3 linked regions of the Elephas maximus indicus genome follow. The protein of the gene in region 2 interacts with the protein of the main gene of each other region in a pairwise test. Links are inferred from orthologs where the notes say so. Each region holds a gene or a part of one and is shown on either strand. Other genes may lie near its edges. The genes, in order: UNKL, BAG4 and ALG13.

What was found.
Region 1: the proteins of BAG4 (region 2) and UNKL interact in binary tests that used the Homo sapiens proteins (3 or more experiments, as listed by UniProt). The link is inferred for Elephas maximus indicus from reciprocal best matches to the Homo sapiens genes BAG4 and UNKL.
Region 3: the proteins of BAG4 (region 2) and ALG13 interact in binary tests that used the Homo sapiens proteins (3 or more experiments, as listed by UniProt). The link is inferred for Elephas maximus indicus from reciprocal best matches to the Homo sapiens genes BAG4 and ALG13.

What each region holds. Positions count from the first base shown.
Region 1 is NC_064830.1:58,557,067-58,568,143, reverse strand, and holds the start of UNKL (putative E3 ubiquitin-protein ligase UNKL), read left to right. Parts: upstream 1-6,025; 5' UTR 6,026-6,027; coding exon 6,028-6,104; intron 6,105-6,960; coding exon 6,961-7,170; intron 7,171-11,077. UniProt on the Homo sapiens protein: May participate in a protein complex showing an E3 ligase activity regulated by RAC1. Ubiquitination is directed towards itself and possibly other substrates, such as SMARCD2/BAF60b. Intrinsic E3 ligase activity has not been proven.
Region 2 is NC_064840.1:62,579,226-62,589,421, forward strand, and holds the start of BAG4 (BAG family molecular chaperone regulator 4), read right to left. Parts: upstream 4,996-10,196; 5' UTR 4,962-4,995; coding exon 4,692-4,961; intron 1-4,691. Other genes in the region: U6 snRNA-associated Sm-like protein LSm1, read left to right, coding at 5,504-5,549, 9,626-9,694. UniProt on the Homo sapiens protein: Inhibits the chaperone activity of HSP70/HSC70 by promoting substrate release. Prevents constitutive TNFRSF1A signaling. Negative regulator of PRKN translocation to damaged mitochondria.
Region 3 is NC_064846.1:45,771,492-45,781,977, reverse strand, and holds the start of ALG13 (putative bifunctional UDP-N-acetylglucosamine transferase and deubiquitinase ALG13), read left to right. Parts: upstream 1-5,349; 5' UTR 5,350-6,572; exon of another isoform or gene 6,573-10,486. UniProt on the Homo sapiens protein: Catalytic subunit of the UDP-N-acetylglucosamine transferase complex that operates in the biosynthetic pathway of dolichol-linked oligosaccharides, the glycan precursors employed in protein asparagine (N)-glycosylation.

The sequences.
Region 1 (11,077 bases), on a different chromosome or scaffold from region 2:
CATTGCAAAACTTCCTCCAAACATCAGCCCCTGACGCCCCGGAGGCGGGGAGGGCAGGGATGTTCGGGCGGGGTCCGCGTGATGGAACCAGAACCTCCCCGAGGCGAGCTCATCCCTCCTCTGCCCCCTCCCTCCAGCCTGGCCCCGCGTCGCTGCCCGAGGACCCGGCGAGATAGTTCCGCTTCGGGCCGAACCGGGAACTACATTTCCCGGCATACACTCGCGGATCCCCGGAGATGGGGCCTGCGGCGGAAGAGAGATCTGAAAGCTTTATGTCATTTCCTGTGCGCGACTGGGCCCACGTTTTGCGGTCGTGAGTGGAAGCCTGAAGCGACGTCAGGTTTCCGGTTTCGCGCGACGGAAGTCGCGAAGCGAGGAGTCGAGGTCGCAATGAGCTGTGTAGTGTTTGAGCCGGCGCCTGGGTAAGCTCTGCGCGGTTTCGGCGGGGCCAAGGGCGGGAGCCGGTGGGAGGACTGGCGGAGCGCTCACTGCTCTCTCTCTTCCAGGGTCGCCCGGGCGCTGAGGTTTGTGCGCTGGGTTTCCCAAAGCCCGCACCCGCCGTCCAGTGGCCGGGCACGGGCCCAGCCGGTGGCCAAGGGGGAGGAAGAGGACGACTTTAACCGGCCTATCCAGTTTTCCTCCAGCAAAGCCAACCCGCCCCGCTGGACGGTAGAGCATTCCCTGGGAAGGGTACAGCAGCGGGCTTGGTGGAAAGTGCTGCCCCTGAGTATCTCCTTCCTCGCTCTGTTCGTCTGGTGTTTTCTGAGGCAGGAGAGCAGCTCGGACGAGTGTTCGACTGGTGTGCTGGGAGAAGAGACAGAGCCCAGTGATCGCTCCTAGGAGCCTGTTACTGGCAACTGGGAGAGAACTTAACGGAGTGCCCCCTGGGGCTTCCGGGAAGGCAGCAGGCACTGTCCTTCGGCTTTGATGTCGCGTTTGACCTTTTCTGCCCTGGGTATGCGTCCGTCCCCAGCACTGAAGGGCTTGATGAATGGCGCACTGAAGGCAGGGTAGTCTCAGCAGATGGAAACCTGTGCCTTGCCTAGTACTTGATGCCTAGTAAATCAGTCCAAGAGACGTTTCAGACGCAGAGGAAAGGTTTTGTTTCCAGTGTGTGGTGTTAGATTTGCGATGTCTTCTGTGAAACATGTCCCTAAAGACACTTGTAATGCAGTGTTACTTTTCAGGTCATCTGGCTTCTGAGTCACAATAACCGGCGGAAGTGTTACATTTTTGAGCTCATAACATACTAAGGTGTGTGTAAATAACATCTATTGATCTTTTACACACTTAACAAATTGAAAATAAATTTGGTGGCATGAAATCAAGACAATTCCTTTTCTTTCTTTTTCTTGCACTTTATTACAAAACGGAGGGCAAGGAGAGCAGGTTAGCAGGCCAACAGCCATGTTTTTCTATGTCTTTTTTTTTTTTTCCCTAGTGTAGGAACTGAGAAAAGAAACAGAAATGTAAATTGTGGAATGCACTATCTGATGATGCCAGAAATGACAAATTTTCTCAGCTTTCTGCAAAACTTTATTTTTAGCAAGGCAACACTTTTCTGAGTAGAATAAACCAGTTAGTCAATTCTTTTGACAAATTATGGACACTATTTTGTGTTACCTAAATTGACTTCTTTCTCAAGTGAGTAGTTATTAGAAAAATCAGCTTGATTCTGAAATGCAAGATGCATAAGGGATATTATTACACACTTAGCCTCCCAGTGGAAGGTTTGTCTTAGTGTATCTGTGGTGCTGAAGTTAATTGGAGGCTTCACCAGGGCAGATGGTATGGTAATATACAGGTAGTCTCCAACTTATAATGAGCCACACATAAGGCCGTCTTTTTCATTTTTATTTTTTGGTACTTCTTATAGTCAGTAACATGCACTGCATACAATGTTGCAGCATGTAATTGGTGATGTTATTATTCTCAGATGTTCAAAGGTTGGATTTATAAGGATACTGATGATAAAAGGTGATAATAATGAAGACTAAAAAAAGAGGTATTTAGCTTACATCAGAACCAGCTTAAAACAGTTGCAGAATCCCATCGTTATCAGGGACTACCTGTACTAACTTCTCCTAATGCTTTTGTGCTGAAGTGCTTTCCATGTTTCCTGCACATCCATAAAATTATTTGTGTGAAGGAGGTGGGCCAGTGGAAGCATGTTCATTTTTTTTTAAAGGTGGAGAAACCAAGGTTTGGGAAGATTGACCATCTCAGCTCAGGGAGTATAGTTCCAGCAGGATCAAAGAGTTAAGACTTTTATCTCAGACTTGGAGTGGTTGTGACTGGTTGTGGACCATCTGGTTTGAGCAGCAGTCATTCAAACCCAAGCCCCTGTTTTACTCTCACTAGCTTCTGCAGGGAAACAAAGCAGAATGAATGGGAAGAATTTCTGTTTGAACTGAAAGTTACTATCCTATTATAAAAGTAATATATATTTTATCTGGGAAATCTAGACACTAAAATAAGCAAGAGGAAGAGAATAAGAAACAGCAATAATCCTACCACCAAGAAAACCCTGTTGCCGTTGAGTTGATTCTGACTTATAGCGACCCTATAGGACAGAGTAGAACTGCCCCACAGAGTTTCCAAGGAGTAGCTGGTGGAATTGAACTGCCAACCTTTCGATTAGCAGCCCAGCTCTTAACTACTGTGCCACCAGAGCTCCAAGAGGTAACCACTAAATGCTTCATTGCTTTCATTTCCTGGATTTTTCCATGCATATATAAATACTCAATTTTTAGAGAAGCACAAGTGGGTGAGTAACATTGTTTTTGATGAGACATCACACCACATGCAACAGACCCTGAGTGCCTCCAGGGTAGGTCTCTGAGGGCTTTTCCAATTTATTACTTCACCCCAGAGACATGGATAAGCTTCATTGTCACAGCAACTCAGCAAAAAGAGAACTCAAGGCCAGCTGGCAACAGAGGGCAGACCTGTCTACACCTGGACTTTTCAGTCCTTTCATTAGTTAGCTGTTTTTGTAGTCTGCTGCCTTATTTCCCCAATGGGCCTGTAGATTTTCTATTTCCCTAGCTACTTGGCACATTGATTTTTTCATGTGAGTGCTCAGTTAGCACTTTCAGGGACCAGTGTAAGCATGCTGAAACGGAAGCTGTTGCAGAGATTATTAAAATGATAAATTGTTGGGCAGAAACCCAAAACCCGCTGCCGTCAAGTCGATCCCGACTCATAGCAACTCTGTAGGACAGAGTAGAACTGCCCCATAGAGTTTTCAAGGAGTGCCTGGCGGATTCAAACTGCAGACCTTTTGGTTAGCAGCCGTAGCACTTAACCACTACACCACCAGGGTTTCCTGTTGGGCAGAAGGAGGAGGAAATTGTTAGAAAAGAAAAGAGATTGGGAGAGAATCTTTTTAAAGAAAAGGAAGCTAACTAAATGGTCACTTCTAAACTGATGAGCAGTCTTAGAATACTGGTGGTGCTATGCATTTCCCCCCAAAAGAAAAAACACTTCTAGGTTCACAATGAAAACCCTGGTGTTATATAAGTCTGAGCACTACCCCAGCCTTTTAAGAACTTTCTTCAAAAGCACAAAAATGACCTTTTACATCCGTACAATGTATCACAGTTCTTTCTGACTTCAGGAAAGATACCCAGTGGGTGAGAATAAACAGGGCATCTTCACTCCCACCTCTATAAGAGAACCCCAAATCCCTTCATCTTGAGCTCCCAGCTTCCCCTGGACACAAATACTGGACTGGCCCACAGGTTCCATGAATGCCTTCCAAATTGAAATTCACCTCTCCCAGTCTGTTTCTTCTCCTTTGTTCCATATCTCACTTAATCTCATTACTATCCACCCAGTGCTCTGAGCTTGAGACCCCAGTTAGACCTTTCTTTCTTATTCCTGACATCCTGTCAGTTTTCAAGATCTGTTTATTTCTCTTCCAAAGAATTCACGAGCCCTGTTCCCCTCCCCAATCCATCCTCCTGCTTGATCTCTGAAAATACCACGTTCTTTCTTGATTTTATCCTTTTAATTTCAAGATTTTAACGTAATGTTTGTAGAGGTCATAGTTTGAAATGTGAAGATATGAATAAGTCTTTTGTCCTACCAGCTAGTAATAGTTTTTGCTATTTTACTGTATTCTTTGCATTTAAAAAAATTACATAATTGGGAACAAATATGGAAACTTTATATCTTGCTTTGTTTTTCTTTTTAAATTTATCTTGTTGGTTCTTGTTTTGTTTTTAAGCTAAATGGCATTTTGTGAGTCACTAAAAATTCTTAGGACACATGGTTATTGAACCATGGCATAACCAAAAAAAAAAAAAACAAAAAACCCAAACCCATTGCTGTCAAGTCAATTCCAACTCATAGCGACCCTATAGGACAGTAAAACCGCCCCTTAGAGTTTCCAAGGAGCACCTGATGAATTCAAACTGCCAACCTTTTGGTTAGTAGCTATAGTACTTAATCACTACGCCACCAAGGTTTCTAAAGCCATGGTATAGCATTAGTAATTTAAATATTTTCTGACTACTAGACTGTTGTTGTTAGGTGCCGTTGAGGTGGTTCTGACTCAGCGACCCCATGTACAACACAAAGGAACACTGCCCAATCCAGTGCCATTCTCACCATTGTTGCTGTGTTTGAGCCCCTTGTTGCAGCCACTGTGTCAATCCATCTCCTTGATGGTCTTCCTCTTTTTCACTGACCCTCTACTTTACCAAGCATGATGTCCTTCTGCAAGGACTGGTCCCTCCTGATAACATGTTCAAAGTACGTGAGATGAAGTCTCGACATCCCCACTTCTAAGGACATTCTGGCTATACTTCTTCTAAGAGATTTGTTCGTTCTGGCAGTCCATGGTATATTCAATATTCTTTACCAACCTCATAATTCAAAGGCATCAATTCTTTGGTCTTATTTATTTTCCAATGTTTGTATGCGTATGAAGCAATTGGAAACACCATGGCTTGGGTCAGGTGTATCTTAGTCCTGAAAGTGACATCTTTGCTTTTTAACACTCTAAAGAGATCTTTTTGCAGCAGATTTGCCCAGTGCAAAAAGCTGTTTGATTTCTTAACTGCTACTTCCATGGATTGTTAGTCTAAACTTTTTGCAGCCTAACTCTGTGGCAACTATCTTTAAACATAAATCTTTCAATCTGATTTTTAAAATGTCTCTTATGACACACACTTACAAGATAATGTACTCTAGCCCTGGGTGCCCCCTGACATACACTCTCCTCCTTCTCCTCCAGGGCCTGCCTACAGTGGGGCCATGTGTGTGAGGGCTGTCCAGTGGTGTGATTGCCTGCTTCTCATAGTTCCCACCCTTGGTACATCCCTGCCCCATGCACGTGATTGTCACCCTGTTGGTGACTGTGGTGTCTGTGTCTCCCCCTCAACTCAGCCTCTTGGATTCATTTTTTTTTTAAACAGCTTTATTAACATATAATTCACATACTATTCAATTCGCCCATTTAAAGTGTACTATTTATTCAAAAATATAAAGTAAAAGCACGTTCACAGAGTTGTATAACCATCACCACCATCTCATTTTGGAACATTTCCCCACCCCCTAAAAGAAACCCACACCTATTTGCAGTCACGCCCCATTCCCCTCTCCTGGCCCCCCACTTACTGGCCCTAAGCAGTTGGATTCCATCTTTGTGGCCCCAGCACCTAGGACATCAGTGGGTGTGGGGGCTGCGAACGCGCGTGGCCTGTGCTCTGGGTGGGTGTCCGAAATTGCAGAATGCGTAGGGCAGGAAGGTGGGGGCGATAGCGATGGTCGGGGAAGGGACTGTGGTGGGTAAGAGGGTGAGATTGGCAGTGGGCTTGGGAGAGGCGGTGCTGCCGTGTCGGGGGCGTGCGTAGCCGGTGTGACCGGGAAGCTGTGCGCGCGGGCTCGGCAGGTCTGGGGGCGTGGCGGGGGCGTGGGTCGGTGGGCGGGGGGAGCGGGTGGGTTCCGCGCGGGGGGAGAACCGGAGGGGCGGGGGCGGGCCCGCGCGGCGCATGCGCACTGCATTGTTTTTGCCAGAAAATGCCGTCGGTTTCGAAAGCGGCAGCTGCGGCGCTGAACGGGTCCCCCCCGCAGACAGAGAAACCGACCCACTACAGGTCAGCGCGGCGGCGCCAGTACGTCCGGAACGGCGGGAGGCTGGCGACTCGGCCCCTCAGCTTGCGGCCTGTCGTCGGCCGGTGCGGCCTGCGCCCGCGCTCCCCGCCCCCCCGCCCCCCCCGCCTCCCGCCCCCCCGCCTCCCACCTCCAGCTTCAGGTCGGGGGCGGGGGCGGGGGCGGTGTGGGGGTGGAGGCAGCCATCGGCATTTGTGCTGCGGCCGCCCGAGGTCGGGGGCGGTACCCGGGGTTGGGGGACAGGGAACGCGCTTGAGATTGGGGGGAAGGGGTGGCCATCTGGACTCCGGCTGCCGCCGCTCGGGGTCAGGGGACCGCGCCTGGGGTCGGGGTGGCACCCGGAGTCGGGGATGGGGGTCGCCATCTGGACTCATTGTGCCGCTGCCTGAGGTCGGGGGCGGTGCCTGGAGTTGGGGATCTGGGATCCGCGCCTGGGTTTGGGGGTGGCACCTGGGCCTGGGGGACAGAAAACGTGCTTGGAATTGAGGGGAAGGGGCGGCCATCTGGACTCGGGCTGCCGCCGCCTGGGGTCAGAGGTCCGCGCTTGGGTTCAGGGCTCTGGGATCCGCGCCTCAGGTTGGGATAGGGGAGGCCATCTGGACTTGGGCTGCCGCCGCCTGGGGTGGGATAGCACCTGGGCTGGGGGGCAGGGGCGCGCCTGGGGTAAGCCTAGGGCCTAGGGTGCCGCACTTGGGATGGGGATACCGGGTACCGGGCCTAGGACCTGGGAAGCCAAGCCTGAGTGAGTTCAGAGGTCGGGGCTGGGTCGGGGGTCGCGTCTGGGCTCCCCTGGGGGGGGGGCGCCGCCTGCCGGACCGGCAACGCTGTTTGTCTTTTTAGGTATCTAAAGGAGTTTAGGACAGAGCAGTGCACCCTGTTTTTGCAGCACAAGTGCGCCCAGCACAGGCCATTTACCTGTTTCCATTGGCATTTCCTAAATCAGCGTCGGCGCAGACCACTCCGCAGGCGCGACGGCACCTTCAACTACAGTCCCGACGTGTATTGCCCCAAGTATGACGAGGCCACTGGTGTGTGCCCCGACGGCGACGAGTAAGTGCCTGACAGAGGCCGGAGGCCGGGGGCCAGCGCTGCCAGGTGTGACATTGCCCGCCGTGCCCGTGGCCCCATCAACGGGCTTATAGGAACACTTGTTCGCTCCACCTCCAGGTGCACCTGGGATCTTTCCTTTCTTACTATTTAAAATTTTAATTTTTAAAAAAGGTTGATAGTAAAGAAAGTTGTTTTATCTGCAGATTTAGAGTTTAAGAAACCAAGGCTTGAGTTAGGATTTTTTTTTCTTTACAAACTTCCTAGTGGTGCTGTGAACAAATGTCTTTATTTTGAAGTTTGTAGAATGGGAAAACAGAAAATAAAGGAAGATTGTATATTCACATAATGGGCGGAAATTGGTAGTGGGAAGTTTTACTTTTTTTCTTATGAGATGTTCAAGCAGGGGGAGGGTGCTTCCTTCCTGGCCCATGAGCTTCTAAAATAACAGTTTGCTCAGCTTCTGTTAGGATCAATAGCTGGATTGGGTGGGGCCTTTTTAAATTTTATTTTTAACATAAATATATAGGTACAGAATATCTGCAATTTCATCAGTCTTCACAAGTAGAGTTCAGTGACATTAAACATGTTCATAACGTTCAACCATGGCCATCAACTGTTCTCGAATTTTTCCATCATTGGCTGGGCTCTTGATGGCTAATACCCTGATCCCATGTGGGGCTGGGCGGGTGGGGGAGCTGCTTCTCCAAATGTGTGTTCTGTGAAGAGCTTTTCACACTGTGCAGTTCAGTGGCATCACCATGTTGTGCAGCCATCACCACTCTACATTCAGGGAGTGAACTTCTGATCATGGCGATTGTTTTATAAACTTTAAACACCTACTGAAAGTCTTTTAATTGAGTACTGGAGGGATAGTGTTGTTGGTTAAGGCATTTTGGATCCTAACCTTGAAATCAAGTAGCCAGCCCTGCTTCTGAATTGGAAGTGTTTTTGATTAAGATGGTGTGGGACTTCTATGCAATTTTATAAGTGATATTTTTGATTACATGCTTAGTTGCTTCTTGAGCTGATGCTCTACATACAGGAGTCTTTAGAAGAAATATGTTTGTGTGGTTGAAGCCTGGACTCAGGTCCCTAAAATCCCACTGTCCCTTAGTTGAGCCAGTCTCTCTCTGCATCTTGGGTCCTGAGTCGCCCAGTGGGGACTCCGCTGCCCAGCCCTGGTTCAAGGATTTGGGTCGCAGCAATGCCAAGGCCAGTGACCTGACTTGCCTGGTCCCGTTCTAGCGTTGAGTGTGGGAACTAATGGTAATGTTTTCATGCAGAGAGGAAAGCGTCTTGTAATAGCTGGGTGTCCTGTTTTTGGATCAGCCTCCCTCAACAGGGCACCCATGTCCAGTTTCTAGCGTCTTGGCGGTGCTTTGCAGGCACTGCCGCAGCCCCCTACCCAGGGGTACTCTTTTGAGGTCATTATGTGGAGTGAGTTTATTACTAAATATTAACTTCAATAATAGAAATACACTCTGAATGGCACGTGGGTCCGTCGTTGAGAAACATGGTCAATGGGTCCCCAGTGCTGTGTGACATGTTCTGTTTTGGATGCAGCCTGTGTGCATTGGCATGTTGTGAGAAGGTCATGGGTCTTAACTTTTACTGAGGACATGTAATGACTGTGACAGGCCAGACCTCTCCCCAGGAATCTCTCCTGAGTACATTAACGCTCATTCCACTGAAGAGGGAGAAGGACTTTCCCTTTGCCCCACAAATGTAATGGCCCCAAATTTGTCCTGTTGCATTACTTATTCTGGGTCATGCAGCATTGCTGTGTAATTCATAAATAGATTCTACTTTTCAGAGCAAGGAGGAGGACTTACCTTTTATTTCAGTTCATTCCCCCCCCCCTTTTTTTTAAAATTTTTATTGTGCTTTATTTTTTTTTTTTAAGTGAAAGTTTACAAATCAAGTCAGTCTCTCACACAAAAGCTTATATACACCTTGCTACATACTCCCAGTTGCTCACCCCATAATGAGACAGCTTGCTCCCTCCCTCCACTCTCTCTTTTTGTGTCTGTTTCGCCAACTTCTACACCCTCTACCTTCTCATCTCCCCTCCAGGGAGGAGATGCCAACATAGTTTCAAGTGTCCACCTGATCCAAGAAGTTCGCTCCTCACCAGCATCCCTCTCCAACCCATTGTCCAGTCCAATCCTTGTCTGAAGAATTGACTTTGGGAATGGTTCCTGTCCTGGGGCAACAGAAGGTCTGGGGGCCATGACCACCAGTGTTCCTCTAGTCTCAGTCAGACCGTTAAGTCTGGTCTTTTTATGAGAATTTGGTGTCTGCATCCCACTGCTCTCCTGCTCCCTCAGGGGCTCTCTCTTGCGTTTCCTGTCAGGGCAGTCATTGGTTGTCTGTGTGGCCCTTTCTATTTCTTGGGCTCGTAATTACCTTGTGTCCTTGGTGTTCTTCATTCTCCTTTGATCCAGGTGGGTTGAGACCAATTGATGCATCTTAGATGGCAGCTTGCTAGCGTTTAGGACCCCAAACGCCACTCTCCAAAGTTGGATGCAGGATGTTTTCTTAATAGATTTTATTATGCCAATTGACTTAGATGTCCCCTCATTTGGTTTTGAAATTCCAATTTGGGGCACATGTATTACCCACCTGTTATTTTAAAACATGAATATGTATCAAAGAGCAAGATCGTTCAGCCAGGTTCAGGGGAAATGAGCCAGGAACGTTGTTTTTGGCACAGGCCGGAGGTGCTATGGGACAGGAAGGGGGTGAGTGGGTACCTCTCCTTGACGGTCAATCACCCCATGGTCACCCCAGTCACAGGCTTTCCTGAGCAGGAGGACACCCCTCCCCACCCCACACTACATCCCCTCACTCCCCCTTTGGGCATACCCTCTGTCACCTTGCAGTGGGCCCCTCCATGGTCAACCTCCCCATGGGCACCCCTGCTGTCCTTGCTTTCCTGAGCATGTGGCATCCCCTTTCTTGTTATCTACCCCTCCCTGTGACACCCCCGCTGTTACTTCTTGGTGGGCATCCCCACAGGGGTTACCCCTTTCCTCGGCAGCCAGCTCCCCCATCACCCCATCCTCCATGAGCCCCCCTCCTGGCATAGAAAGTGCCCCCCTTGGTCAGGGAGGATATGCCCCTTCCAGGCACGGGTGAGGATTGGCTGCCCACCTCCCCTGCTGCCCAATAGCCTGAGGGAACCATGGGTTGCCTGGCCGCCTGTACCCCAGGTGCCAGGTACAGGTTCCAATATCCACCCAAGATCGGCAGCCAGGCTGATGCTCTTGGCTGGAACTGGCACTGGGCCACTGGCCCACACCTGTGGACCACACCTCAAAATACTCTTTCCAGAGACCCTGCTTCCAGCCTGGCTTCCCTACTGGCCCTGGCTGGGGTCTCCCTGGTATGGTGTATCCACCATGCTCTCAGGCACATCCCTCCCAACAGTTCCCCAATCCTGCACTCGGGTATCAGAGCCACAGCCTGTCCCAGTGGGTGATGATGGGATGAGCAGGTGATGCCACTTGGGCAGTATTTGTGGTGGTTGTTGACTTTGAGAGAAAACTTTTCAGAGCGTCCATCTCTATCTAAGTGAGGCCTCAGGTTGTTGGTCTGTATCCTGTGTGTTTGGACATCCACTGAGAGGTTCTCTTGCAGGTGGCTGGGGGTTGGGGTAGCCCTGGAAAGCTGGAGGCCAGTGGGCACAGCTGAGCTGGCGGACTTGGCTGACAGAGTGTTCAAAGGCAGAGGGCAGATGTACCATGACACCTTTGGATTTCTCCCCCAGGCTCCAAATTCCCACCCCCAGTGGTCTGCAGCACACGGTCTGCCTTGTCCAGTCCGCCTGCTGCCCCTGTTATTCGTGTGCTGTGTTTTCATCTCCCCCTCCCAGGCATACGTTCCTTGGAGAGTGGGAGGGGTTCGT
Region 2 (10,196 bases):
TCATCTTAATTGATTATACTACACAGACCCTATTTCCAAATAAGGTCACATTCTGAGGATCCAGGTGGATATGAATTTTGGGGGGAACACTACTCAACCCAGCACAGTTGCTTCTTGTGTGATTTTTATAGTTGTGATCATAACTACAAGTAGCTCTTAGATTAGGGATTCAATTTAAAATGAAACTTTCCTACTTTACTCTTCCTAAGCTTCCAATTAAATTCAAGTGTGCAGAGATCATTAGGTAGAGCTATTAAGAAAACTTTTATTTTTTTCAAGTAATCCCTGGGAATCAATATTTTCTTCATATAGAAAAAACAACAACAAAAAAAAAACTGGTTTCTTTTTTACTCTAGTTTTAATTTTATTTTACTTCCCAAAATAGCCTCACTGGACTCTCTAATCAACATTAGATACTAAAAAATAAATTTAGAAGTATTTTACGAATTTATATTAAACACTATTTTGTTTTATATATATTGAGGTTCTTAGTAAGATTCCATTTTTAAAAAAACAGTGCTTCCAGAAAGCTAAACACAGTTCGAGCATTCAATCCAGCAATCTCACTCAGAGGTAATTACACAAATGCAATGAAAACTTAAGTCCACATAAAAACTTGCACGAATGTTTATACCAGCCTTACTCATAATTGCCAAAAACTTGAAGCAGCCAAGATGTCCGTCGGAAAGTGAAAGGATAAATGAACGTAATACATTCATACAGTGAAGTATTATATAGTGATAAAAAGAACAGAACTATCAAGCCGTGAAAAAACAAGGAGGAACGTTAGATGCATATTGCTAAGTCAGAAAAGCCAGTCTGAAAAAGCTGCATACTATATGACTCCAGCTATATCACATTCTGGAAAAAGCAAAATTATAAAGACAGTGAAAACATTAGTAGTTGCCAGGAAGTCAGGGAGAGAGGGAGGGATAAAGAGTTGGATTGTAGGGCCTTTTTAGGGCAGCGAAACCATTCAGTATAGTACTATAATTGCGGACACGATAGTAAGCATTGTTGAAGACCCAAAGAACCACACAACCCAAAAAGTGAACATGCATAGAGTCACCATGAGTCACAATAAACTCAATGACACCTGATTTTAGGAGTCCCTGGGAGGTGCAAATGGGTAAGTGCTCTGCTACTAACCAATCAGTTGGTGGCTTGAATCCTCTGAGAGGCACCTTGAAAGAAAGGCCTGACAATCTACTTCCAAAAAATCAGCCACTGAAAATTCTATGGAGCACAGTTCTACTCTGACACACTCGGGGTGGCTATGAGTCAGAACTGACTCAATGGCAAATGGTTTGGTTTTATTGGTTTGAGCAGTGCAAATGGTTAACGTGCTCAGCTGCTAACCGAAAGGCTGGAGGTTCAAGTACACCCTGAGCACTACAGAAGAAAGGGCTGGTGATCTACCTCCCAAAAACCAGCCATTAAAAACCCTGTGGAACACAGTTCTACTATGACACACATGGGGTTGCCATGAGTCTGGTGTCAGCTCAGTGGCAACTGGTTTTAATGTAAACTATACGGAAGCAGTGCTTCAGGGGTCGAATTCTTGCCTTCCACGCAGGAGACCTGGGTTCAAATCTCAACCAATGCATCTCATACGTAGTCATCACCTGTCTGTCAGTGGAGGCTATGATGCTGAACAGGTTTCTGTGGAGCTTCCAGACTAAGACTAGGAAGAAAGACCTGGCAATCCACTTCCAAAAATCAGCCAAACTTTCCAATCCACAACTGATCATGGGGATGGCGCAGCACTGGGCAGTGTTTGTACATGAGCTTGCCTTAAGCTGGGGGGACTGACTCAAAGGCAGCTAATAACAACACGGACTTTAGGTAATAATGTATTGATACTGACATTGATTCATCACGTGTAACAAACAGACCTCAGGAATGCAAGATGTTAACAGGAGAAATGATGTGCAGGGGGAGGGGGCACATGCAAACTCGGTACTCTCTGCATCATTTTTCTGTAAACCTAAAACTGCTCTTTTTAAAAAAAAAAAAAATTCTATAAAAAAAAATACACACACAACTGAGCTTCCCAAACTTTTCTATACATATGAATCACTTTGGGATCTTTTTAAATTGTACTTTCTGATTCAGTAGGTCTGGGACCAGGCCTGAGATACAGCATTTCCAACAAGCTTTTAGGTGATGTAGATGCAGTTAGTTTAGGTAAGTATAGCTAATCGGGTAAAGAAAAAAAGTTTATTTCTTTAAAAAACGAAAACAAAAAAACAGGGAGAGAGACTTCCCATTTTTTCCCTGCCATATTCGAGTATATTAATACAGAGTCACGTCTTTGTTGTGGTTCAGTGCAACACTGTCTCAATATATTAAGTTCTCTAGAGCAAAGCTGCTCAGATGTTAACACGTATGAGTCACCTGGAGGTTCTACCAAAATGCAGATGCTGATTCCGTAAACCTGGAGCAGGCGTGCTACTGACGCTTCTGGTGCATGGACTGTACTTCCTGAGTGCCAAGCTTTTCAACGGTTCCTACACTTTTTTTTTTTTTTTAATAGTTTGACAGATTTGATTATATTGTACGGTAAAACTTTCCAAAAGCCGAAACCTGTGTAAGGCAGAGGCCTGTCAGAGATGGAAAACGCAAATATTTTCCACTAAAACAAGCAATAGAAAAGTGGTAAGACTGCACTCTGTCAACAGCAGAAAACCTGTGAGACCCGGAAAAACAAGGCAGTCCCATTAAGTTTCCGCTCTTACAGGTTTCACTGTATAAAAATGTAGAAAAAGCAAACAAACTGGGGGAAAAACATTTGCAACACCTGTGACAACACCCATATCTTTTGTATTCTATTCCTTTGTAACAAATTACTCTCCTGTACTTTGAAAGTTTCAGAATTATCAACCTGAAAGGTAAAGTCCAAACTTTTTTAATGGCTTATAAATGCCCATTACACATTTCCAGCTTTATCTCCAACTACTCCAGCACCATTTCCTACCTTCTGTGCAGGTACTCTGACCCTACCTGACAATTCCCCACACAATGCTAAAATCTTAACTTCCCTAGTCTATCCAACACTTTCCTAACCCTACAAGCAGAAAACAGACTTTTGTATGATACAGCAAGCCCAGTACGAAGTCCTCAGTTCAGTGGTCCTCTCCTCTTTACCTTCAAAAGATCTTTGGTCTGGTTTTTAGTTAAGCATTTTATCATTCTACAACGGGATAAAACTCCCACAGTCTAATTATCCAGATTTAGGCAGAGAAAATATGGACTTTTCTTCACAGTAAACCTTCACTGCATGTTTTCTCTCACGCAATTTTTTTTATTGCTATATATTCACATACCATAAAATCGATCTTTTAATGTGCACAATTTAATGGTTTCCGGCTAGAGTTGTGCAACCATCACCAGTATCTAACTTTAGAACATTTTCATACCCACCCATCCTGCCCTACACCACCCCACCCCGCCCCTAAAAAAGCCTAGTACCCATTATCGATTATTCTCCATACAACCGTCCCTCCAGCCCTTAGCAACCACTAATCTTTCTGTCTCTCTGGATTTGGTCATTTCATATAAATGGAATCACACAATATGTGGTCCTTTTTGTCTGGCTCCGTTCACTTAGAATGTTTTCAAGGTTCACCCATGTCGTGGCACATATCTTCCTTTTTATGGCTGAATAATATTCCATTGTAGGAATATATCATATTGTGTTTATCCATTCATCCGCTGATAGACATTCGGGTTATTTACACCCTTGGGCTATCACGAATATGCTGCTGTGAACACTCCTGAGCAAGTTTTTGTATGGCTATGTGTTTTCATTTCTTTGAGGTACATACCTAGGAATGGAGTTGCTGGGTGATATGGTAATTCTATATTTAATTTTTTGAGGCACTGCCAAACTGTCTTCCAAGAGACTGCACCATTTTACATTCCCACCAGCAATATGAGGATTTCACTACCACATTTTCATCAACTGAGAACGTTATAACCACTTGAAGGAAAAGAGAAGTGTGCCATCACAATATAGCGACAATCCTCTACTGAGAATAATGCATTAACAAAACAGAAGTATATTTTCAGCAGAACACGGAGTATCTTAAGCAAGTGAGTTAGCCTCTCAGCGCTTCCTGTTCCTTGTTCGTTAAACAGGGATGCTGTAATGACATTTACCTCGCAGTTGCCATGAAGATTAAATAAAACAATCCACGTAAAGATGCTTTACAATACTGATTATTCGTGATTCAATCCCGGGCAAAGCAAGAGGGCAAAGGGCTAAATGCCTAGATCCCTCCTTCTCTTTCACGTCCTTCCTCACGGGAGGGGCTGCTGAGTGACAGCGGGGGCTGCAGCCACTTCCCTTCCTAAGACCGGCTTGCCGAGCCACGCAGGATAAATTGTTAGTGCAGAGCCGGGTCACTCCAGCCCAATGCAATCCCAGGCGACATACCCCTTGGCAGGCAGGGCAAGACCGTTTTTCCTTTTCATTGGTAATAGCTACATTTATTATGGTCGAAACAGAAAAGGAGGATCAAACAACACAAGCACATCCCTCCCACCGATGGCCCCAGTCTCCGTCTCTCCAATCCCCCAAAAGGAAAATAAAACGATCCATTAACGAACCCCGGAGATACATCAACTCCAAGAGCCCTCACCCCCAAAGACCCTCCTACCGGACCCCCAGAGGCAGATACAAAGCTTACCTGGGGGCTTCCTGCAGTTCGACCCGGCTCCGGCCAGGCGCCCCCAGAGGGATAGTAGCCATCGCCTCCTCCGACTTCTACCTGCCAGGTGGTCTCAGTCGGGCCGCCCCCGCGCACCCGCCAGGAAATGGGAGGCTGGGGAGGTTCAGAGCGAGGGGGATATAAGGGCGGAGGTGGGTGCACGGGCACATCTCCACCCCCAGGCCCGTAGTAGCGGCCATAAGGCGGACCGTCACTGGGGCCGTAGCCCGTGCGCCTCAGGGCCGACATGGGCTCCACTGCCCCGAAGCGCTTCCCGCCCCCCACGGCCGGCCCACTGCGCAGGCGCCTGAAAGCGAAGGGGAATGGAGAGCAGTGAAGGGGGTAGGACGACAACAGCCAATCCCAGGCCCGGTCCCGCCCCTCCTACTGCCCGGTCTGAGAGTTGAGGGACATAGGTCCGCGACTCTGGTGTCTTGGAAGCAGAAAAGTGAGGGGAGGCACTATGTTTCTCACAAGGGAGAATATATTTTCCCACGTTTTATCCAATCTAGACTCCTCTTCCCCTCTTCATCAGGGACGGGGAAAGGATGTCCTGGGACCACACAACGGCCCCGCCCCTTCCTGAGGACGGGCGCGTGATGCCGGAAGTGGGCGTGGTAATATGGAGGCGTTTCCGGCAGGCCCCGGCGGCTGAAAGCCGGGGCGGGAGTGCGGTCCGGGGACGGGTTCCTGTCCCGGTCCCGCCAAGGCGGCGGCTGCAGTAGGAGAAGGGCGGTGTTGGACTCGCTGGCCCGTTGCCGCTGTACATTACAACCTTATCTCAACTCAAAATGAACTATATGCCTGGCACCGCCAGCCTCATCGAGGACATCGATAGTGAGTAGTTCATCTTCTCACGGTGAAGTCTGGGATGAGACCCTTCCTCCCGGGTGGGCGCGTTTTTGGAAGGAGATTGTAGAGTGAGTCCAGGGCAGGGGACCGTTTGTTTTGAACTCACTTGTGGGTGTTCCGCGTTGACATTCTCTACAGCCAAGGTACACATCGCATGACACCCCACACGCCCTACTACCTTAATTCTGCCCCCCCGCAACCTCCGCCAGTCCCCGAACTGTGGAATTCACTCCTACTTGGAGGGACGGAGCAGCCGAGGCCCGAACACGAAAGTGTCCCAGCAGACTTCTTCCCCGCCCACTGTCTCCCACCTGGAATATCACGAAGTACTGTACCAGGTTACCGAAGGATGGCTAAGAATACTTAGAGAACGGACCCATTAAGAAACACCAGTTGCACTTAATTGGCAATTAAACGGAGGCTTTATTCTGATGTATCCTTGCAATCTTCATTTACCATGAAGGTGTTAAGCACTTTAAGTTTATGATAGTAGAGACCAGTGGCAGACATCGTATTGACATTTTTGGAAAGACTGAGTCACTTCAAACTTTTTTTTTTCTATTAGACAATTTTCTTCTACTTTTACTGACACCTCCCTTCTTCCTATTTACTACCCTGAAGGGGAGCTCAGGCCTGTACAAAAGCAAGAGGACCTACTTAACAGCTGTCCTGTCTTTCTTTTTTCTAAACTGTTCTCTGTGGATTATTCCTCAAGCAACATGTTTTATCGTTTTAATTGTGTGATTTGTCTCATTAACGTGTAATTGCTGCAAAGTGGTTTGCAAACAGCTCCAGACAAATTGCAGCAATCTCTCTTGATGTCGGTAGCTGAGAGTATGCCAGTTAGAGTGAGTCTATGATTAAATTCTCTGTGATCATTTTTTAAGTCCAAATTATTTATTTTGCTATCAAAAGGAAATGTAAATTGGACCAAATCCATAAATGAACAACTGTGCAAGTCTGTCTGTAATGTGTAATGATTTTAGTTATCTGAGGATGTCCTTTTTCCCCACGCCTCCCGTGTTATAAATCTAAATTATCTGAGGTCCCTGACACATCCCACCATTTTACTAAAAATCATGTTTATTCTCAGGTCTCTAACCGCTACCTATATGTAGATTCCATGTCCCCTTCTCTTTTTTTTTTTTTTTTGGCCAATTTAACATTTTTCACATGTACAATTTGTTGTTGTGGTGGTGGTTGTGTTCACTTGTAGCGGCCCCATGCCATACAATTTAGTGACATCAATTATATTAATCATATCAGGACTCCTTCTTTACCTAGAAGTTTGAAGCTATTTGATATGCATCCCACCCCCTACCCCCACACACACATTTTCTTCCCCTATCCTCAGTCTTTCTGTATCTGCACCCATCCACTTGTTTGAGTAGGTAGTATTCCTTTTGTTCTGTGTGTGCATATATTTTCTCTCTCCTCCCACTGCTTCTGGACCCTTGTTCCATTAATATCCTTTTTTCTCTTCTATCTCTCTTTCCTCCTGGATCCTTCCCTTCGGCTGTGTTCTTGTCTGTCCATGCTCAGACATTTTTCTCAGCTGTGTCTCCCCATCAGACTCCCATCCTTTTTTTCACATCTTCACCCCCAAACTTCTTTAGTCATCTCTGTTTTAACTCTGCTTTCTGACCATCTGTGATAGACCACAAGGAGCCCTGGTGGCATAGTGGTCAAGTGCTTGGCTGCAAACCCAAAGGTGGGTGGTTCAGACCCACCAGTTCCTCTGCGGGAGAGAGCTATGTAAAGATTACAGCCTTGGAAACAGTTCTACTCTGTCCTATAGGGTCACTGTGAGTTGGAATTGACTCAACAACAATGGGTTTGTTTGGGGGTTTTTTTGTTGATAGACCACCTCTGTTACCCCTGCAGTCTGTTGTGTTAGTTTGTTTTTGGTCATCACCACTGTACTGAAGATGCATTCTTAAAAGTCATCAATCAACAGCTCTAATGCACACTTCTGAATTCTCTTCCTCACCGCAGCATTGTTTACTGTCACCACTACATTCTTAATTCTATTTCTTGACTTCTTTGACAGTGATACTTGCTGATTTTTTTACCCTTCAAACTTCTCCTATTCCCTAAAATAGGTAGTCTCTTAGATTTCATCTTTGGTCTGCTTCTTTCTTTAAATATCTAGGAGACCTGGACTATAATAATTAAATCACCTCATTGTGGATTTGTCCAAAATTGCTCTAATTCTGACCTCTTTGGCATTCCAGTCCTTCATTTCCAACTGCCTGCTGATTTTTCTACCTAGATGTCCTGATAGCACTTCAGAATCACAAACAGGTAATAACCTTCCTTCCTAAGGTTGATCTTTTTATTCCCAACTTTTGGTAAATAACCCTCCTAGACATAATGACTCAAAACTCACATCTTCTTTAACTCGCTTCTTTACTTTACTGCCCCACCACTCACACGTATCCACACGCACAAACTCAATGAGTTGACAAATCCCATCACTTCTGCCTGCACAGTGTTAGCCTTTTCATCCTTTCTGTTCTCTTCTGTACCATGATTCAGCTCTGTTCTTCATGCCTCAGGTATAATCTGGAAATAGCCTCCTAACTGCTCTCCTTTTTCTGCCTGATCAGTCTTCAGTGTTTTCTTGTTCCCTATGAAATAAAGTCCAAACTCAGCCTGGCCCCTTTCTGACTTCATCCACTGTTACTTCTCTTCACACTCTCAACTTTCCGCCTTTTTTTCTTCTGTCTCATTTACAGATTTCCCTCCCTTTATCTTTCCCCATCACTCTTTCCGTGCCCCAAAACCGTCTACCTTTCAGGATCCCACTCAGACACCTCCTCCAGCTAGATATATTTCTTTCTCTGAAGTCTCATGTAATTAAAAATTGCGTTCTTATGGTACTTAGTTACAGCCCAAGGAAGGCTGTAAATCCCTTCAGGGCAGAACCACTATCTTGTTCCTCTGTTCTGCTTCTAGAAAGTATTTTATGCATGGCATTAGAGAAATGAATTGCTGACATTTCTAGTGACTGGCTTCTTCTCATTGTTCAGATGTCGACTCAGAACCCCCTCTTCAGAGAACTATTCTCTCACCAGCTTTTCTTATGTAGCTACTTCCCCTCTCCCTTCATCATACCATCCTGCTGTCTTTATTATTTCATTGTACTAATCACAATAGATAATTTTCTTGTCTTTCCCCATCAGAAATAAAAATTCATACGGTTGATAACTTTGAGTCTTATTCTCTGCTGAAAAAGTACATAGCTCTCAATAAATATTATTGAGTTTCTGTTCCAGCTTGTTCTCAGAGTCTTTATTTTGAATATCTAGACACTGGTTTTATTTACAACCTTCCCTAATCCCAAAGTGTGCGATAGAAACTCATCTTTTAAATTGAGGGGAAAATAATTCTAGATTTAAGATCATGTAGACTAAATTTCTCAATTTGCAAATGTAGAAGCTGACACTGAGCCCTAAGACACCCTTCCAACCTGGAATGAAGCCATTCCCAGAGACCACCTCCCAGCCAAACAATAGACAAGCACATAAGATAAACAACACCCAAGAGGAACATACTCCCTAGAAGGATCAATTATATGAGATCAAAAGAGCATTATCTGCCCAAAAGCAAAGATGAGAAGGCAGGAAGGGGTAGGAAATCAGGTCGAAAGAAAATGGGGAACCCAGCGTGGAAATGGAGAAAGGGGAGAGTGCCCACACGTTGTGAGGAGTGAAACCAAGGTCATGAAACATTGGACGTACAAACTATCGAATGGGAAACGAATTTGCTCTGTAAACATTCACCTAATGCTCAATTTAAGAGAAAAGAAACTGACACTGAGAGGGTTCCAGTGTCAAACATCAGGGCGTAGAGCCAGCCTGGTCCTTCACATTTCTTTACTGCACTGATTTTTGTCACCACTGATCTTGTAACCTAAATCCCAGGCGATCTCGGTCCTCCCTTCACTTCTCAAATAAACTCCTGCAGCTACAAAACTGCTATTAACTTTATTTCTGCTGCTTCCTTGTAAACTCACTGAAGCTAACAGTTTCGTTCTAAAGATCTTTTTCTTTTCCCAGAAAAGCACTTGGTCCTGCTTCGAGATGGAAGGACACTTATAGGCTTTTTAAGAAGCATTGATCAATTTGGTATGTATCACTTACGGACTTGCCCTTCTCTTGTACTCTGGATAATAATCGCTGCCCATTGCATTTTATGTGTGTGTGTGTGGCCTCATGTTGAAATTTATCTGTAGCTTCTTCCCCTGTCTGGCATAATGGAACATGACTTTGAATCAATACATCATTGTTTTCTAAATTACGAATAGGTGGTTCAGAAAGCTTGTGGTTCTGAAACTGGTTTTCACCGGAATATGGGATTGCAATGTTTTGGACTATTTTTTTATTCTCCCACTAGAGGGAGCAAAATGATAGAAATGAGCTCAGTCCACTGAAAAAGGCTCATTTGTAGATTGGCTTGGGTGCAACTTCGTAGCAGTTGCTGCACTGAAGGTAATCCCTCCCTGTCCAATGAAAATTGGGTAGAAAGCATTTTCTGAAGCTTTCTGGGGACCACAGCATGAAGCTCAATATTTACACATAGGAATGCATCAGACTCAGGAGTTTGGGTCCTTGTTTTATATCCTATAAT
Region 3 (10,486 bases), on a different chromosome or scaffold from region 2:
CACTTGACGCTTTTTCCTAAGTCTTTGCCTGCTGTCGTATCTCTCCGGGACCGGTTTATTTCACCACTTGGTGAGCTGGGTCGCGTGCATTCATTAGGGCTACTGAAGCACCTTGTCAGGTCCAGGTCAAAGGATTCTTGAGGAAAACCACCTGAATCCCGTTAGAATATTTGGCAGCTCGTGCTCAAGTCTGCACACTGACTTTAGGGTTTGCGGTTGTTACTGTTGTTTTCACAGTAGCCTGATTAAAGGGTCGCTTTTTTTCCTCCCCCGTTTTAGATAATCAAGAGTCTTGGGTACAGCCGACTTGTCCTACAGATTGGTAGAGGCACCGTGGTACCTGAACCATTCAGTACTGAGTCATTTACTCTGGATGTTTACAACTACAAGGATTCATTAAAAGAAGACCTTCAGAAAGCAGATCTTGTTGTTAGTCACGCAGGTAAAGTGCCTTGGAATCTCGGTTCGATTTTTGATAGGCAATAAAGAATTTGAACCTTGAGGTAAAAATCACTGCACTAACTTAACTGTAGCCCCTTTGAATCTAATGATTATTTGAGTTATTTAAATATAACAATTGGGAACTTTATTGGAGAAAATTTACTTTTTCTGAGTGAGAGAAGATAAGTCGGAATGGACTCAACGCAACTGGGTTTTTTTTTTTTTTTTTTTTGTTAACCCAGCCTTAGAAACCCTAAACACAGGCAGAAGGATTTATCCAATAACAGTCTTGAGATTAGTATTCGGCTTTATATCTGCTGGGGTCCAATTGAAGAAATGTGTTGGATTGATCTGAGAAATTGGTTTTGAAAGATTTTTTACATTTCTACTAAATGTGAGTGTGAAATGAATGCGGTCAAGAACATTCTTTAATAACCATCATTGTCTGCTCTTCAGAAAACAATGCGGGTTGTCTAGTAATCAGACTGTCAGTACCTTAAGAAGTTTTTGGCGGGTATTGTGATTGTGACTGCTGGATACATGAGTGAGGAGTTTATTTATTCTTAAAAAGTCTAAATGGTTTGAGGAGAGAAAAGCCATTAGAAATAGACATTACAGACAGATTGGCCATTAAAAATGTGTAGGATAATAGCTAACAGCTTTTGGTACCGTTCTTTGAGCTTTGTGTGAATTAACTCCTTTCATCCTCCCAAACAATCCTATGAATTTAAGTACTATTAGTATCTATTTTTCAAATGAAGACGCTGAGGCAGAGAGGTTAAATAACTTGTCCAGCCAGTAAGTGATGGACAGACTTTTAACAGTCTGGTGTTGGAGTCTGTGTTCTTAACTACTACCCTTGTATACTGTCTAAAATAGTCTGTCTAAAAAGGATTTATCTACTTATCAGTCTGCTCTCTCCCATTTGAGATATCTAAAGAATTTAGGAAACCCTGGTGGTATAGTGGTTAAGAGCTACAGTTGCTAACCAAAAGGTTGGCAGTTTAAATCCACCAGGCACTCCTTGGAAACCCTATGGGGCAGTTCTACTCTGTCTTATAGGGTCACTATGAGTTGAATCAACTTGACAGCAACGGGTTTATTTATTTATTTAAAGGATTTTGGATTTCAAAGTTGGATTGTCCTAATGTTGTATATGTGCACATTCATTGAGATCTGTTCTCCACTATTTTGGGGATGCTACTTAACAGGGTCACTATGAGTTGGAATTGATTTAATGGCAATGGGTTTGTTTGGTATTTTTTTTTCTGGTTGACCTAACAGACTCAAGGAGTAGTCAGGGTTTTTCTTTATTGGTGCGAGTGGCACCAGTGGTTACTGTTCTACAGGGCTCTAGGTCTCTACTAAACTAAAGGTTGGCGATTCAAAAGACCCCACCGAGTGGTGCACGGGGGAAGCCTGGCAATCTGCTTCTATAAAGATTAGAGCCAAAAAAACTTTGTGGAGCAGTTCTACTATATAATCCATGGGGTCACCATGACTTGGAATCCGCTTGAGGACAAGGGTCCTCCCCTCCCACTACTGAAGGCTCGATTTGATGGCAATGGGTTTGGGTTTTTTTTGTTGTTGTTTGTTTTGAGTGGAAACGTCACTTAAAGTATGTTGAACCTGGATCTTAACTGGATTCAAGGCTATTCCCAGGGCATTTGACTAGAGGGCAAGTGACAAAGCACTGAATCATAGGCCATAATATTGTCGGAGATGATAAAGTAATGTATTTTTAAAGTCGCTTCTTAGAGAGCAATTGATAACTACTTTTCTCATTTTAAATAGGTAATTGAAAGGCCTGATTTGTGGTTCTGCCAATTAACTTTTGAGTTGTAGCTATAAAGAATGGTGGAGCACCTTAAAGGAACACTGGTGGCACAGTGGTTAAAGCCTTCGGCTGCCAACCAAAAGATCAGAGGTTCGAACCCACCAGCTGCTCCATGGAGAAAGATGTGACAATCTGCTTCTGTAAAGATTTGCACCCTTGGAAGCCCTGTGGGGACACTGTGAATCAGAATCAACTCAGTGGTAGTGGGGGTTTAGTTTGGAGTGCCTTTTTTTTAAAACTATATTAACAAATTTTGATATATTTTTGTAGGTGCAGGAAGCTGTTTGGAGACTCTGGAAAAGGGAAAGCCACTTGTAGTTGTCATAAATGAAAAGTTGATGAACAATCATCAGCTGGAATTGGCAAAGCAGCTACACAAAGAGGGGCATCTCTTCTACTGTACCTGCAGGTATACTATAGACTGATTGTTTAACTGACCTTGTCTTAATTCTTTCCTAGCTGTTTTTATAGCCTTACTCACTTGCCTGCCTGTCTCTTCTGCCTCTTACCTTCTTCCACCTATCAAACGTACTTTGATTTTCTCACCTATAAAACCCTCTCATTTATTTTCTACTTTGACTGGTTTGTGTGTTGTACTTCTTTGTGTATCTGTGGCTCTTTCTTTGTATATGATAATCCGAATGTGTGTGTGTGTGTGTGCATAGGTGCATGTTCATCTGGGTGCATAAATCTCTGGGAATACAACTTTTTTGTTCTTTATTTAGACTTTTTTTTCAAGGAAAGCATTTATTTTTAATGAGGATTTTGCCTTCAGCACATCCACTGGAATCCCTACACATTTATTTATTCAGTTACACTTAAGTATGTACCAGGCACTGTTTTAGGTGCTGAGGGTGCAGTGGGAAACAAGAGACAAAGTTCCTGATCACATTCTAATGATGGGAGATAAACAGTGAACAAGTTCACAAGTAATAAATGATCAAGAGGATTTCATATGATGAAATGTGCTATGAAGAAAGTAAGGATGATATGATAGCTGAGGTGAAGACTAGATAGGATGATCAGGGAAGGCATGACTAGGTACATGACATTTGAGCGAGACCTGAATGACAAGGAAGAGTCAGTCATGTGATGCTCTGGAAGCAAAGGGAACAGCAGTTAAAAAGGCCCTGAGGTAGGAATGAGTTTGAAGTGTTTGAGGAATAGAGGGAAGGTTCATGTGATAGGTTCATAGTGAGCAAGGGAGAGTGTAGTACCAGATGATGCTGGGCGGGGGTAGCTTATATAAGAGTTCTGATTTTATTCTATGTTCAGTGAGAAGCCATTGGAGCATTTTAAGCAGAGGAATTACTTTATGGTAAGGAGTACTATTTTCTAGAAGTATACTAAAATTCAAGAAGAACTGATCAACATCACAGTAGAAGGATGAAGAAAACTGCTGGCTTGTTTTCTAGTAGGCTTCCCTTAAGACACCAGAAGCTTGCAAAAAGGTCAGGTCAGTAATTCCCAGTTGTTTGACTTTAAAACCTATCCTAATTTCATATTTCAAAAAATAAATACTTTATGAAAGTATTAGAAAAAAATATATTTTATGTTATAACCCAAAACCCAGTGCCGTTGAGTCGATTCTGACTCATAGTGACCCTATAGGACAGGGTAGAACTGCCCCACGTTTTATGTTATAGTAAATTGAAATTAATTTTAAAATATAAAATAAACTAGAAGAAACTGGCTAGAATGTAAGAAGCTTTTTTAATTTTACTGCTTCTATCTCAGGCACTCAGTAAATTATTTATTAAATATGTGTCAGGTACTGTTGTAGGCACTTGGTATGCATCAGTGAACAAACCAAAAGACCCCCATTCTCATTGATGGGAGACAGACTCATTGATTGTTTCAAGAATAATTGTTGGTCCTCATCCTGGTAGTGATGAAGGAGAAGGAATGTCAGGGTGGCTTTGTAATATAGAAGCCAGCCTTAAAGTATTGTGAGTCGGAAGGAACTTAGTTAAAATTATTTAGGCTTCCAATAGTGGGCATATCTGTCTGCCCTTAGGTAGTTGAGATTGTTAGGGGTTAACATTATTTTTTAAAGGAATACACTCTCATCTTCTTAATTGGTTTATGCAGATCAATTTTTCCCGAGACTTTTGATGAGTATTTTCATTCTAGATGTTAAATTAGCTTTGATTTTATGTCAGTACATTAAAAACAGTAAAACAGTGATTTCATAAACACATCCTGACATTTTACTCAGGCTGAAAAGGAAGCTAGCTGTACAAGTCTCCAATTTATTCTATTTTTGCAGTTTAAAAGTCTTATATTCAAGAAAGTCACATACATGAAAGCAGTAAGAATTTCAATAATTGGTTGTGTTTTCCTTTCAGGTAAATCATTTTCCCAAAATCTAGGCTGGGTGGTTGTATGTCTGTACTAATTTAAGTGACTGGCTTAATGAAATTTCTGATGTGTTAGTTTTATGTTGCAGTTTAGAACCTTTCCAACATGCATGGTGATCACGTATTGCTTAATTATATATGGATTTATGATAGTAAATTACCAGCAGAAAAAGTTATTTCACAATTGTCAGGGATGACCTAATAGTCTCCCCAGCTTATCTTTCTTACCTGGCTGCTATTACTTTTGGCTTCATTTATTCCTTTTTCATAAATTAATTGTGCTTCAATTTTTTTGTGCCTAGTCCTAAGTAGTATTACAAAGCCATGTGAATACATCTTTCATGAAATAACATTTCTGAAATAGTTGATACAAAAGATAAATTATTGAATTAATATTGGCATTATGTACTATTTTGCTTTAGTAATCTTTTCTAAGTGTGAATACTTATATTATTAAAATACATTTAAAATTCATTTGTACAGTTTGGAAAGCAGCGCTGTATTCTTGGAAGTTAGAGTCAGTCATCAAGTGGGCAGCAGGTGAATTATGGAATTTTCTCCCATGTTACTTAATATTTTTCTTCTTTTGTTTTAGCACGCTTCCTGGGCTGTTACAGTCAATGGACTTATCAACACTGAAATGTTTTCCTCCTGGCCAGCCAGAAAAATTTTCTGCATTTTTGGATAAAGTTGTTGGATTACAAAAATAAACACTAAACTCTCAACGCTTTAAAAACACCCCCAAATCCAACGTATGGGATGTGATTAAATCAAATATATAATACGTATTTGCAGAGTAATATCAGTTAATAAACTACATCTATAGAATGCTTAGAAAACTTTATGGTATGAACATTTGCATTTGGGTCCAAATCCTATTTGCAATTTAGTAAACTTGCTAGATTTTCCCTAATCTTCATTCATATTTTAGTAAAACACGTAGTGGGCATTCACAATTTTTATCCTAGAATCACACATGCGTTTGGAATCATTAAAAAAAACATGAGATTTGAAAACTTCTTAAGATGAAGTGTTTTGGCAAGAACTATACATGTAGTCAGTTTGCTGTCTCTTAGACTAGAAAATGAAACAGTAACACTTTTAAAAAATATCTTTGTATGAGGGTCAGCATTTTTAGATTCATAATCCAAGGAACCAAATTCCAAAAAAAAAAAAAGACAAGCAAAAATGATACATTGTACTCTGTGAAATAAAAAGCTCAATAATTGCCTAAAAAAAGATTAACTATGAAGGCAGTTTTTCTGTTGTACTTGGAGAAACTACTTTCATCCCAAAGAATAGAGTGGAGTGGATATGTTCACTTTTTTTCTCTGAAATAGCAAAATAATCTTGCCCAATGTCAACGCTTTACTACTTTGAGAAGAAATCAAAAAGGACTTCTACCAGTAGGGTTTACTGTTACTTTTTAAGGACTGCCCCCCACATTGGTACTGGAACATTACTGTAACATATAGAAATTTACAATTTATATGCTCTTTGAATTAGTTACAAATAAGAAATGATCTGATGTGGATAATGACTTAAAGATGTGGTTTTAAAGTTTACAGGATAACTTGAGATAGGTACATTATGGAATTCTTTCTAATTAAAGTAAGTGGTCTCAAGACCTTTAAAATACACGAGATTACTCCTAAGTGTCCATAGTTCTCTGGTAGAAAGTTTATCTGAAAAAACAGAACATTTATGAGGAGGACCTACATTCCATTATATTATCCCAATATGTTGAATGTTTGAAACATTTTAACTTGGGATGCTTTATATAAGGTTTGTAGATTTATTTTCCCAATTGTGTTTTACTTAGGCTAATATTAAAATACGTTCTTACTAAGCGTAGAAGGTGGTGGCTAAGAAGTGCTCTGGGTAGCAAGAGGAAGCCAACTTGGATTAAAATTTTGCTGAGAATAATCTAAAAAGTGAGTAATCTATACATAGTTGAGAATTCACAGTGCCATAATCATTGCATATTAACCTAGATTTCATTATTTCATTTCGTGGAGAGTTAAGCCAATGGTGTCAATTGTGTAACATTTCTGACTACACCTTTGTGAAATTTTATATCACTTGTGGGGTTCTAAATCAAAGGATACTTTAGAATCATTTTGAGTTGGCAGGGATCCTCAAGATTATGTAGTCCAATTCCATTGTTTTTAAATGAGGAAAGAGGCCAGAAGTTATGACTTGCCCAAAATAACAGCTTTTGGCAGAGATGGCATTAGAAACAATTCCTTTACTCCTAGTCCTGTGCTCTTTTTACCATACTATAATATACATACATTTTTTGGTTCTTTATAATTGTTTGCCTAATATTTGGTTACACTGATCCCTTCCAAGGATGGTTTTGTTTATTTTCAGAAGTTGTTCAATTCACTTCACTTACTTTGTTTTCCTTTGGTTTATGACGACCCATTCTCTACCTTACCTAGGACATAGAGTCAGACTTAGAAATCTGTGATTCCTTAGTTGTTTGGAGTCTGTCACAATGCTGTGGGTTGATACTTAGATTGAACGAATAAAGACTAAGACAAGGAATTGTAGAATTTTGGAGCTGGAAGAAAATTTAAAGAACATCTAGGCCGAACCACTCAGATGAGGAAACAGGCTAAGAAATTAATGGCCAATTTCACATCTAATTTAGTCCTTATGAGAAAAAAATGGTAATCAAAATTCTGTTTAAAAGATTTGCTCAATAAAGTTAAATGTTTGGTTTTATTACATGGCTGATAACAGCTTCAAACCAAACCAAACCCAGTGCCGTTGAGTCGATTCTGACTCAGCAACCCTATAGGACAGAGTAGAACTGTCCTGTAGAGTTTCCAAGGAGCACCTGGCAGATTTGAACTGCTGACCCTTTGGTTAGCAGCTGTAGCACTTAACCACTATGCCACCACAGCTTCAGGTTCTTTTAAATCAGTAAGTGGAATGCAGTTTATTTAGCAGTTTTCTATTAGAGGATAAGGAAGCAAAAGAGGGTTTAGTATTTTGGGAAATTCACATTGTGGATAGGTTCAGGGATGGACAGATAATAAGGTAATAATAGTAGAAAGTTTATAGTGGTGGAGTAGGTGAAAAGTGAGGTCGTAGGATGACCTTGTGAGGTGAGCATTTTGGATGACAGCGTGCTTATAATTTGAAAGGGAAGACAATAAGAGCTGGAAGGAATTGATGGTAAAATAGCATATCCAATAAACTTGATGTGAGGCTTGGGAACATTTAAAAGTAGTCATGTCTAAAAGTATTGTCAAGTATGATTTATAGACACTTTAGAATGCTAATTTGTATGCTTTTAAAGGCAGATTATACAGAGGACAATAAAAAATGTTCTGTACCACTTTCTTGATTGATAGTTTTAGGAAGAGTTTTCCAAGACTAAAAAGTCACAAGTGACTAGCAGTAATACCGGTAACTTTTCTTGGCCTTTTATTATGCTTTGTGGGAGAAAGATGTGGCAGTCTGCTTCCGTAATGATATACAGCCTTGGAACCCCTATGGGGCAGTTCTGCTTTGTCCTGTAAGGTTGCTGTGAGTCTGAATCCACTTGACAGCAATGGGTTTGGTTGGGGTTATTATGGTATAAGCACCTATGTAATCCCTGTTATTTATTCATAATATTAAATTTCCAGAGATGATAAAAAATCTACATATAGTTTGAGAAGTGAAATATCTGGACAGATTATTTGAAGTCAGTTTTTGGAGAAAATTCAAATGGGTGGTCATGATAGCCATGTGGTGATCAGTTTTCTGCTCTACAACTAGTACCGCTAATTTCACAAGGTGGAGGGAATGAAAAATAACAATTGCAGTTCACACTTGAGCACTTAGTATGTATCAGGTACCAGTCAAAGCATTTTACATGAATTAATCTCTATGAAATAGTCTTGTCCAATTTCGCAATTGAGGAAAGTCAACTCAGGACATCATCTGAAAAAGGACTTTTATGTCACTTAAAGATCCAAGGTATGGTCTGGGAGTTGTAATTGGAACACTGAAATCTAGGATATTTTAATCATTTATGGAACAGTAGGATAGAATATTTGAAGTAGGACTATCCCAAGAAATTCAGATTGTATGACAGCCACAGGTACATAATCCATTTTAGCTTTTACATTGCTATTTAAAAGCAAACTGGTTGCTACTCAAAGAATCCATGTGGAAAAACTGCCAGTTGCAAGTTATTTATTGGCTCTTGTTTTCTTCTTGAATATTTGTGTTCTACGGTTCTCTTTTTGATCCTTTTTATATATTATTTCTTGGTATTTTCATTTCCAGAGCTGCTACTACTGATGGCTCCCCTGCCTGTATCTCTTAACTCTGATTTGAGGTGACTGGTATTTCCAGTTGCCTCTTGGTCATGTTGGAGCTCTGGTGGTGCAGTGATTAAGAACTACAGCAGCTAATCAAATAGTCAGCAGTTTGAATCCACCAGCTGCTCCTTGGAAACCCTATGGGGCAGTTCTGCTCTGTCCTATAGGGTTGCTATGAGTTGAAATCGACTTGACGGCAACAGTTTTTTTGGTCATGTATGTCTGTGTATTCTGTAAGCACCTCAAACTTAATGTGCCTCAAACCTAAATCATATTTTTCCTTTTCATCCTTTTTTAATTCCAATTTCAATTAATGGTGTCACCATCTAGTCAGTCCTCCAGGCTTTAACTCTTATATCTCTTACCCTTTTTATCTATCTGATCAATCACCAGATGCTGTCATGTTTACTTCCTAAATTTCTGAAGCCCATTTATTTAGTCATTCATTTAATCTTCCAACATAAATGCATAATGAAAATCTACTTTTGTATCAGAAGAACTCAAGACATGTTCCTGCCTTGGAGGATCTCTTACAGTCTAGATGGGGAGGAACTACGTCTTACTCATTCTTGAGTCCTCTACTGAAACAGTAGGTTTTCCATAAATGATGAATACACTTTTATAACTGATGTATCTTTTCTAATGATCTTGATTAGGATTAGGATTAGACACACAGTCTCATGTGTCTACTTGATCCAAGAAGCCCGTTCTTCACCAGTATCGTTTTCCATCCCATATTCCAGTCCAATCCCTATCTGAAGAGTTGGCCCTGGGAGTGGTTCCTGTCTTGGGATAACAGAGGGTCTGGGGACAATGATGTCTGGGGTACCTCTAGACTCAGACCATTAAGTCTGGTCTTTTTACGAGAATTTGAGGTCTGCATCCCACTGCTCTCCTGCTCCCTCAGGGGTTCTCTGTTGTGTTCCCTGTCAGGGCAGTCATCGGTTGTACCCGGGCACCATCTAGTTCCGGTCTCAGGCTGATGTAGTCTGGTTTATGTGGTCCCTTCTGTCTCTTAGGCTCATAATTACCTTCTGTCTTTGGCGTTCTTCATTCTCCCTTGCTCCAGTGGGTTGAGACCAATTGATTCTAGGCAGTATCTTAATGGTATTGAAGGGGTTTGTGGTAAAAGTTACATGATACTAAAAATCAAAGGTACAGAAAAAGCAGCAGCTATAGTATTTTCCAATAAAAGATTACACGGAGAAAGGCTTAGGATAACCACCAAATGACAATTGATTTAGTTATTTATTACATGGTTAATTCCACATTTGAATACTCTAGCATAACCTCTTATATTGTATAGTTCTTTTTAGTTTTTATAAGTGACTAGACAAAAGGTGGACAAATTAGCTTCAAACAGAAATGTACAATACATGCTTCTTGAATTTGACACTCTTAATATTTGTTTATGATTTCTTTTACCACATTCTGGCTAGAATTGTTTATTTTGATTGACATTCTATAATAGCTTTGAACATGATTTCGTTCTGATAGTGGTGCTCGTGCCCTCTAAGTCAAAGGTT